Linked DNA regions of Nothobranchius furzeri. The protein of the gene in region 1 binds, or shares a complex with, the protein of each later gene. Links are inferred from orthologs where the notes say so. Each region holds a gene or a part of one and is shown on either strand. Other genes may lie near its edges.

Region 1 (5,004 bases):
CTTCACAAACCATGGGCATTTTTCCACCAGAGCCAGCCTGAAACCCCGAGCAGTGACGTGTGGTCCAGAGCTGCAACGTCTCAGCTTTACATCTAAAATCAAACCAATTCACTCCCAAGTTGCCCCGATTCAAACAAAGAGCCAATCACACGACCTGTAACCTTAACTGGATTTTATCTGCAAACAAAAACAACCCCAGCACGATTCAACCAGAGGAAGACAGCAGAAAAATCATCTGGATCACTCCAAAGGCCTCATAACCAGGAATGCAGGTAACTTTGTGAGTACTCGAATACCAGGTGTTTGGTACTCATCTCATGTAGGACTATAGTGGAAGGAGAGGGGGTGCGCTCAGATTGTGAGTTTCTGATGAGCAGATTGAAAAACCGCTCATACGGATGCAACGTCAGAACGCAAACTGGTACCTGTGCACCGGCCCTGCTCACAACCCTTCATAACCCTTTGATTTGTAGTCAGGTGGGATTTTGCAGCAGGAACTTTGCCTCCATCTATGGTGACTGCTCTGATATGAAAAGAGGGATTTCTCCTCCAGATGCAGCAGGAACTTGAGGTCTGACACTTGCGCAGAGAGCGCTGACGGTAGATTTGTGTGATTTCTGGGGTTAAAAACAAACAACACTAGCAAAGGCTGTGGTGAAAAACCTTACGGATATGAACTACAGTATTTACAAAAACATCATACAGTATATAAATCAAGTATGGGTGGGAAGCACCCATACTTCTTATATACCATATATATAATATATATTTAGATTTGTCTATAACTACTAAACCATATGAAAGCAGCAGCTATTGGTCAGTCTGATGAACTCTTTCTTGTCCAATTATTGTTTAAATATCCTTCAGCCACATAATGAGGACAGAGAAATAAAAAAGAAGGGAAGGGAAGCCAATAAATTAAAACTATTCACTAAACACCGGATTAATCTGTGTGCCGTTTGGAATTCTGCAGAACCAAAAACACAAAATCTTTATTGGAGGAATCAGATGTTCTACTTTTGAGTCTTTGCAAGTCCTCCCACTGATTAAGGTGTACAAAAAGGAAACAAGTTTAAGAACGCTGAGAGACACGATTCTTTCTTTGCAGGCCACGTAGAAAAGGCCACAATCTGAGTGGAAGTTTGGAGAGAACAGAAACAATCAGAAACGTGGAAATGCAGAGAAAGTCTTGTGGCACGAGCAGCTGTCCTGGTTGGCTAAAGTTTGCTGTGTTCACAGTTTTCAGTTTGTTATTTATTTAAACGCCGCCCCACTTTTTCTCCATCACGAGGAGTCCTGGAAACATGGCTGTGTGTCACCACAGATTCATAGAGTCTGATGTGTCGTGGAGCAAGTTTTATAAACGTGTTTGCATCCCTTGCTTGCCCGTCTTGGACAGCGGTGAGGAAGAAACGGAAAAGTCCTGAGATCTGCGTCTTTTCTTCCTCTACGAATAAGAAAACTGTGAAAAGAACAGAAAATTCAACTGGAGGGGGGCAAAGGTGAATCGAGTCTTTTTTTAGGAATAAGGAAATGTTAGGATGGGCTGGATCTGGGCAATGATAGGATTCTTCCGTTTTTCTTGCCACCGTTCATGTGCGTGTAAGGAACGTGTTCCTCGTAGTTCCCCCTGAGGGCCACCGATGGCCCGCTGTCCCTGCCTAAGCTCTCCTCTCTTTGGGAATAAGAAGAAGGGTCCAGGGGGATGCTCTCCATGTTGTCCAGGTCCAGGTCAAAGTCCTCTGTCTCGGGGACTTTGTTGTCCTCGCTGTAGAAGAAGGAGACCTCCTGGAAGGATGGGTGCAGGTCGTCCCGCAGCATCTCGATGATATCCAGGAATGTTGGACGCATCTTAGGGTTGTACTGCCAGCACATCTGCATTAGGCAATGCCTAGCAACAGAAGACCGAGACAATGAGAAAAGACTCAAACAGATCACTGCGAGGACTCCTCATTAAAGAATGGATGAATGAACAAATTCCGTGTTTACATTCTCTCTGGGCAGTTGTCCGGGCGGTCCAGGAACCCTCCGTCCATCACAAACTTCAGGACCTGCTCGTTGGACAAACCCTGGTAAGGCTGCTCTGCTAGCGTGCTGATCTCCCACAGCACAACTCCAAAAGACCTACACACACACACACACACACAACAACGTGGTGACAGGGTGAGCTGACGGGATAACAGAGCTTACACAGCAAGTCGCTGAGGCGTGGCGTACCAGCAGTCTGAGTGAGCCGTGAAGACTCCGTCCTTCAGAGACTCCGGAGCCATCCACCTAACGGGAAGCAGACCCTTCCCTCCTTTACGGTAGTAATCGGTCTCGTAGATGTCTCGAGTCATGCCAAAGTCTGACAGCAGGAGATCAATGCATCAGGACCGACTCTGAAACCCAAATCTGCCTCAAAACCAAAAACACAACACACAAAACGACTGCCGTACCTCCGATTTTTACTGTGAAGTCTTCAGCCACCATGCAGTTTCTGGCTGCCAGGTCCCTGTGAACAAACTTCTTGGCGTTGAGGTAGGCCATGCCGTCAGCTATTTCTGCTGCCATCTGCAGCATGTCCTTTAGAGTGGGCGGTGGGCAGCCGGATGGGTTGTTCTGCAAACCACACACGGAAAATCAGCTTCTACCCTTTGGCGAACACATCACAACCTTCAATCTTGTTTCAGTTTATTTTGCTTTGACCGATTTAACCCTGACTAGATGATAACCAGAACGAACCTCAGAGTCCGGTCTCAGACTGCGAAGGTAGCTCTTCAGGTCACCATGAGTCATCAGCTCCATGACGACCAGAGTGGGCTGACCTTTGGACACGACCCCCAGCAGACGCACCTGTAAAACAGAAAGTCGCAGCATGACACACACCAAACCCTCCCAGCTCAAGACAATGTTTCTTTAGTTTTAAAATCATTTAAAGGCCTGCTTTAAAGACCAAATATAAATAAATGCCTTGTGAGTCGATCTGTGTGGGGGGAAAAGCTCTGGCGCTCCTGTTTCAGGAACTAGACGTGAACCAGAGGAGAGATGAGCAGAAGGCGGCAGGATTTAGATTCTCATTTCCTGATATTCTGTCATCTCGCCTCTGATTGGCTAACAACAACATGATTCTGAAACTCTGAAATAGAGGCCGACCAACATGTTTTTTTTTTAGGCTGATGCTGATTTTTAAAGAATATTGTTGCTGATATCTAAAGCCGATATAAATACGTTTTAGCAGCACATTGATTGTGAAAGACAACTGGACACTCACCGTGTGCAATATAAATTAAATATTCAATAAATCTCTTTATATTCATTGAACGTCAAATAGAAAACAAAATCAAAACATTAAAGAAATGGTGTGTTGGGTTCTTCGGGTCCTTTCTTCAGCATAGTAGTGGCGGCAGTTGGCCACAAAGGTGCCTGCTTAATTTTTTTAACGTTTTTATTGGCTTTTAAAAATAATTTTAGCCGATATAGAAAAAATTTAATATATCGGACGGCCTCTACTCTGAAATCTCTGTGTGTGTTAAGTATAAAAGCTTTTCAAGCTCCTACATGAATTAATAACAGCTCCGATATGAATTATCTCCTCCTGAGGTGGTAAATAATAAAATTCTCTCTCATCGCAACATGTTTTCACAGCTGACAGCACAACACATGCTGGCTCAATTGATGCCTAGTAGCTTGTGTAATGAAATAGTAATGGCCGCCGCAATCGCCTACTGAGTGTGAACATTTGTTTTGGAGTCAAACTGTGTGTCAGTATGGCAGCTCCAACACAACACGTGAGTCACGGTTCTCTGAGACACGCACTGGTTGCAGCTAAAGGATAAAAGAGCAGTGAGGTGCTGTGAGTCAGCAGCCCGCTGGACGTTCTAAGAGGGTTTTCGTACCACGTGGTGGCAGCTGAAGGCCTTCATGACGGACGCTTCGTTCAGGAACTCGATCCTCTCTCGCAGGCTGGCTGATTCGTTGACCGTTTTGACAGCGACGCGCGTCTCGGGCTCTCCTTTGACAATGTCCTGAGCATTTCCCTCATACACCATGCCGAAGGAGCCCTGGCCCAGCTCTCGGAGCAGCGTGATCTTCTCCCGGGGCACCTCCCACTCGTCAGGGACGTACACTGCACAAAAAAACCAAGATTTTTATGGGTGTCTTGAACAGAGAAGACAAATAGAGAGAAAAAAGGACTTTTTGTAACTTACAAAAGAAAAGGATCTTTATCAGAAACAACAGAACTGAAACGTTTTATGGTTTTTAAACAAATTTTTGATTATGGTGCAAATTTTTCTACTTCATGTGACATAGCTTTCCTCAATATTTGAAAACTTAAACTTCACACACAACGGGTGTTTTTAATACACATTAAATGTGAAACATTTCTGACTTCTTTCGCCCAAAAATTCTGAGTTAAGTGTGTACAGCAGGGGGATTCAATCCCGGGCCTGGGCGGCCGGTATCCAGCATGTTTAGGTTTTAACGCTGCTTCAACACACCTGATTTTAATTAGTAGGCGATTAACAGGCTTCTGCAAAGCCTGATGAGCTGCTGCGTAGGTAATTCAACCACTGACTCTAGTGGGTTGGACTAGAGAAACCACTACAACGTGCTGGAATTGAATAGCCCTGGTGTACACCCTCCAGTTCACCTGAAATTCCTTTTTTTTTTTAAGTTTTATTTTTTATTAAAAACTGTATCTCTTACATAAAACTCAGACACAAACATTAATAAATGTACGACCATCACACTCTTCCGCCTCTCATTGATCACGACCGTTTTGAAGATGGTCAATAGTTTATGCACAGCAACTATTAGTTTGAGGTTTAACTTTAGGGTATCACAAGACTGTGGTTACCTTGGCAACGCAAATGAGCCACAGGCAGCAGCTTTAACATTTCTTTTGATTTTGGTTCTCTTTACGCTCCTTCAACTGCTGTCGGTGTTTGTAGAAACAGGTTGCCGTATATTTCAATTTTAGACATTAGCTGCAAAATTTTGCTGGAAAACGTATTCAGATGT
Region 2 (5,539 bases), on another chromosome or scaffold:
AATGCCTTGATACGGCCCTGGATGTGGGACTGGTGATGTTCCATCACATGTATAAATATTATGCTTATAGATTATTGCCTTTCAGTGTGTATTGGGGATAAATCTACCAAGTTTTATTTCTTTTCAAGCACTTTGTTTTGTTTTCTTGATTGCATTTGAATAATTTCCTGCCCTTTCTCTCTCTAACCCTCCTGCATGCTGCATGTTTTCCCAGACTTCCAGAAAAACTGTTCCCTAGCTTTCTGACTTTCTAACTAATCAACCAAAGGGGTCTACTGAACGCAAAAAAAAAAAGCTTAATATGTGCTGCGCTCACCGAGGCACAGATTATGAACTCAGCTGAGGCAAAGCACGTCAGAAAAGTACTTAAAGTACCAGAGCATATGGACGGATGAACGATTGCAAGTAAATTATTTTGTTTTGGTGGAGCGATTTTGTGAATGTTACAGCAACCGCGCGCAGGACGCAGCTGGAGTATCTGACCTGTTACTGCTGCGTCCTCTCTGCTCATAGAATAGATACTGGATCTTTTTTTGGGCTTCCCACAATTTGAATTTTTAAGAAACCCACATCTTGATCCTGGGTTTAACCCTCTCAGACTCAAAATTAGTCTTGATAAAAGGACAAACAACTAAGTCCTTCAGGGATACTTCTGAGTTAAAAAATGCTCAAGAAACGTATGTGGAGTAACCAGGTAGGTAGGTTTTAACGTTGCTATTCTGCAACGCCTGCCTCCTGAGGGTTAAAAATGCACTGTAATTACCGCGTTACTGACAATTGTACCGAGTAAATATTACCATTTTCTTTCCCTGTAATGCCTTACATTACCACATTACAGCAAAAAGGAATGCATTACAGTAATTAATTACTTTTGTACCACATTACTCCCAACACTGCAATTCAGTAATGGGGGGCTACTAACCTGCATACTTTAGATACCTTCCCTGCTTCAAGACACCTAGTTTATTGGGTTTCACTAACTAAATCTGGGATTAACACATTTCTGCAGAACATGACAGGCTAGGGGTATGATTTCACTGATACATTAGGCGTGTTGGAACAGAGAAACATCTCAAACCTGCAGGATAGTGTCCCTCCACAACTATCCCAAATATTTTACCCCAGCAATATTTTTTTCATAAATAATCAGTTAATCAAGATTCTTCTCTTGCACTAATGTCTAGAATGTAAAAACAATCAGCACTATAAACAACTGCAATGAAACTGCTGATGATCTGAAGCAAGAAATATATAAAGTATGGTGGCGCACAAAAAAAAAGTCCATTTGTTCCCAAATTATTCTACACAGGCAACACAAGGAGGATGGAGTCCAAGCAAAATCTAACAAACCCTGCTTGAAAAACTGCTGTACCAAGTCAAAAAACACTAGATGCTTCAAATGTCTCTCTAAAATAAAATAATCATCAATTTGCTTTTAAACAAAACAATATTTGTGCCCAAAGTCGGGTATTTATAGTGTGAACTGCAAAAAAAAAAAAAACGCATTTGCAGGCAGGAGTTAACCAAAAGCCAACTGGTTTTAAAAGTCTAAGAAAACACTGTGTAATAAAAACAACCGAAACTGTCTCAACATCTGTATCGCAGTGAAAGCTTGTCGAGTACTTCCCAGCATGCAGTGCACGATAATCACACACCCTGTGCTAAAACAAACAGTGGAGCTGCAGGCACTGGGCCAGGTATTTCTTGGGTAAGCCATAAACTTATTAAGTTTCAAATATAACATCCACTGGTGGTGCAACACCTCACTTTGTTTATTCATTTTCATATTGTTTGGCGGCCGCCGTGCAGCAGTAAAAACCTGCATTTTCCCATGTAAAACCATGCAGATCATCCGTGCACTCTAACGCAGCACTCATCTCCTCTCTGCGACTGATTTACATACTTGTAAAACCGGTCGAGCCATCCACATATCCTGAGGTTTCAAACAAAATTACAAGTCAAACACTATGGAACTAGGAGTTCACGTGACTTTCAGAAATGACCTGCAATTGCTTTCAGACCCTTGTTTAAACTACACCTAGGATCTGTGCTCAGGGGAGAAGCAGAGGCTGTAATTTGTCCCAAATAAGGACACTCACCTGAGTTGTGCTACTTTTCATCCATGGCAATAAACATTCAGATGTGATGGATGGGAGAAGCTCAGGGAAAGGCTTTGGAACAGGAGAGGATAAGGACTCTCCTCCTTCTCGAACGCTCCTGAAACGAGCCAACAAAAGCACCAGAGAGAATGAAACATTAGCGGATATTGTGTAATAATTCATGAGGGATTGCTCTGTTTTGGCAATGCTACATTCTTATTTTTCAATTCCAAGCACTAAGGTTTGCATTGTGTTTACCAAAGCTGTAAAGTGATGAGAAAAATAAAACCTTTATTTGTCCCTCAGTGGGGTCATTACATTATTGCAACAGCTCAAGGACAGAGGAGAGCAGCAGTAGCACACAAAAGATTGTAAATTAGATAATCAAGATAGTTATTAACATTTTATAAGCAACTTTGTGAGAAATAGAGACAATCTGCAGCTATGTCTGGAGTTTGAAAGAGATTAACAGACTCAATGTTGCTTTGGTGCAAATTAGGAATTAAGTAGGTGATAAGCTAGAAGGATTTTTGCATTGAACCCTCCTGCTTCGAGCTACCTGAGGACACGCCTACTCACCAACAGACTTTTGATAAAACAGCAGATAAGAGAAATGGGAACGGCCCTCATTGTGCTAAACTTGTGCACCTTTTTTACACAAAAAAAAGACAGATTTATAAAATCAACTATAATTCACTCTAAATAAAATGCAACTGAAGGTAAGTAAAAGTTTTCCAGTGCGCATTTTACTGAGTCAACGTTTGTCACCTTCAAAGCAACAGGTGTTTGATGTTTGAAACGCACTGAAGGAACAACTAAAGCAGCACCTTTCTGACCAGCTTCTCCAAACACAAACTGTGTATGATTCAAATATAGGAGATTAGAAAAGTATGAAAATTTTTATTTCAATTTGAAATACAGGCAGCAAATGTGACACAGCATGCATAAATAAAAATGAGTCTTACCTGTTTCCCTTACACAGCTTGGTCCCGAGCTTCTGAGCATTTGGTGTCAGTAAAGGCTCTTGCAGTGGGATGAGGGCTGGGCTGGGAAAGCCACTCACATTACACTCACCACTGTGAAAAATCCCTGTTTTCTGTCCGAGGCTTCCAGAAGTGTGGATTTTCTCCAGTGTTTTATTCATGTTACTCGTGTGGGTTGGCTAGATCCGAGGCATCATCTGGAGCAAACAGCAGAGGCGAGCTGTTGGGCTGGAGAGCGTGCCCAGTTGGAGCAGGCTGACTGACTGGCGGGGCTCTTCTGCTCACAGCTCAGCAGTGCACACACACACACACACACACACACACACACACACACACAAGTTTCTCTAGCTCATCTGCTGCCCACAGGGCTGGCCCAGTGGGGCAAAGTGATCCCTCCTACCCAAACATGATCCACCACAATAAAGATATTTTTAACACAATGACTCTCACAACAGCCCTGCTCACTCTGACCTCATGACTTTTTTTTATTAACAATCACCCCCCTTTTTAAGCTTTTAGACTCACTTTATTTGCAAACTGTGAGTAGCTGGACAAAGAAGACACAAGACAAAGGAACTGAGCCCAAGGAGGCTGTAAAACCAACTGTCCCTTCTTGTGGACCTTGTACGGGTCTGCACTTTAAACCTACTACACTGTAGACTGAAGACAGCTGTAAAGAGTAGCCAGACGGTGCAACAGACTGGTTGTGTTACTTGCTGTGTCACTCAGTGACAGGCTCCACGTGGGGGATGGTTGGGATGATAGTATCGTTCTTAAAGGTAATGTGTAACAGACCTCGACCAGGGGAAATTCAGACCAACACCACAAAGCTTATAAAATAATTAAAGCAAGTTTCCAGCGTGGAAGCTTTTATTTGCCAGAGAATCACCTTTCCTAAACAACCGCTTCAACATAATCCAGTTTTTGGCTTCAGTTCAACCTAAATGTGTTGGAATGGAAATTAAGCTTTAAAAAAATAAGGTGCATTATCCCAGTTGCAGTGATGCAAGGAAGCTTATTCAAACATTTATTTTTCCATGTAACCAATGAATACGAGACGCTTGAGTACATTTTAAATGAATAAACACATAAATGAATGAAAAATCCACTGTTGGAAACTTGATATAAATAAGTAAAAAAAATAGTTTAAAGTGACACCTCTCTTTCCTTTGGGGAGAAAATATGCTAATAAATCCATCCATCGATTTTCTGCCGCTTATTAGGGGTCGGGTTGCGGGGGTGGTAGCTTAAGCAGGGAGGCCCAGACTTCCCTCTCCCCAGCTAATTGGGCCAGCTCCAGGTGTTCCCTGGCCAGCTGAGAGACACAGTCCCTCCAGTGTGACCTGGGTCTTCCGTTAGGTTTTCTCCCAGTTGGACGTGCCCAGAAAACCTCACCGGGGGGGTGTTAAGGAGGCTTCCTAACTAGATGCCCAAGCCACCTCAACTGGCTCCTCTCGATGTAGAGGAGCAGCAGCACTTGGAGCCCCTCCCAGATGACTTAGCTTCTCAGCCTTTCTCTGAGGAAGAGTCCAGTCATCCTAAAACTAATTTCATCCACAATCTCGTTCTTTTGGTCACTAGCCAAAGCTCGTGACCATAGGTGAGGGTTAGAATGTAGATCGACCGAGAAATCAAGAGCTTTCCTTTCTGGCTCAGTTCTCTCTTCACCACGACAGATCGGTACAACGCCCGCATCACTGCAGACGCAACACCAATCCGCCTGTCGATCTTGCGCTCCATCTTTTCCTCACTTGTGAAGAAGATCCCGAGATACTTAAACTCCTCCACTTGGGGCATGACCTCATCCTTGGCCTGGAGAAGACCTTCTACCCTTCTCCGACTCAAGACCATGGTGTCGGATTTAGAGGAGTTCCAGTGATAGCCGGAGATCACGTTCTGATGAAGCAAAACTACATCATCTACAAAAAGCGGGGACTCAATCCTTAGGCCAACAATACAAATCCCCTCAACACATTGGCGGCGCCCTAGAAATTCTGTCCATATCCTGTCCAAACCTATCCAAAGTTATAAACAGAATCGGTGACAAAGGGCAGCCTTTACTGAGTCCAACTCTCACTGGAAACGAGCCCGACTTACTGCCAGCAATGTGGACCAAGCTCTGACACCAGTCAAATAAGGACCTAACAGTCCATATTAGAAGGCCTGGTACCCCATACCCCCCAAAGTGCCCCCATAGGGGGTATGCATCTAGGAATGCGGTCAAACGCCTTCTCCAAATCCACAAAGTACATGTCCACGGCCAGGAAGAAAACCACATTGCTCCTCCTGAATCAGAGGTTCGACAATCTACCAGGAAGGTTCAGGAGCGTGATCCCCCTGTGGTTGGAACACATTCTGCAGTCCCCCTTTTTAAATAGGGGGAGCACCACCCCAGTCAGCCAGTGGAACTGCCCCCGATGTCTACGCGTTATTGCAGAGCTGAGCCAGACAACGCAA

Evidence for each region. Proteins that work in one complex are often made in the same cells at the same time.
Region 2: the proteins of insrb (region 1) and grb14 are in contact, whole or in part, in a crystal structure (PDB 2AUH), measured with the Homo sapiens proteins. The link is inferred for Nothobranchius furzeri from reciprocal best matches to the Homo sapiens genes INSR and GRB14. Residues at the interface, in NP_000199.2 of Homo sapiens: Leu1065, Arg1066, Ile1069, Glu1070, Lys1112, Arg1116, Arg1163, Met1180, Arg1182, Tyr1190, Lys1192, Gly1193, Gly1194, Lys1195, Gly1196, Leu1197, Leu1198, Pro1199, Val1200, Trp1202, Ser1207, Leu1208, Lys1209, Asp1210, Gly1211, Gln1235, Asn1242, Glu1243, Leu1246; in NP_004481.2 of Homo sapiens: Glu373, Asn374, Ser375, Leu376, Val377, Ala378, Met379, Asp380, Phe381, Ser382, Ser386, Val388, Ile389, Glu394, Val398, Ala399, Glu401, Glu402, Gly403, Leu404, Trp406, Arg407.

The regions. Positions count from the first base shown.
Region 1 is NC_091748.1:58,183,219-58,188,222, reverse strand, and holds the end of insrb (insulin receptor b), read right to left. Parts: intron 4,109-5,004; coding exon 3,879-4,108; intron 2,836-3,878; coding exon 2,725-2,835; intron 2,602-2,724; coding exon 2,439-2,601; intron 2,348-2,438; coding exon 2,218-2,347; intron 2,125-2,217; coding exon 1,990-2,124; intron 1,892-1,989; coding exon 1,537-1,891; 3' UTR 1,313-1,536; downstream 1-1,312. UniProt on the Homo sapiens protein: Receptor tyrosine kinase which mediates the pleiotropic actions of insulin.
Region 2 is NC_091754.1:19,800,543-19,806,081, forward strand, and holds the start of grb14 (growth factor receptor-bound protein 14), read right to left. Parts: upstream 3,418-5,539; 5' UTR 3,244-3,417; coding exon 3,065-3,243; intron 2,218-3,064; coding exon 2,100-2,217; intron 1-2,099. UniProt on the Homo sapiens protein: Adapter protein which modulates coupling of cell surface receptor kinases with specific signaling pathways. Binds to, and suppresses signals from, the activated insulin receptor (INSR). Potent inhibitor of insulin-stimulated MAPK3 phosphorylation.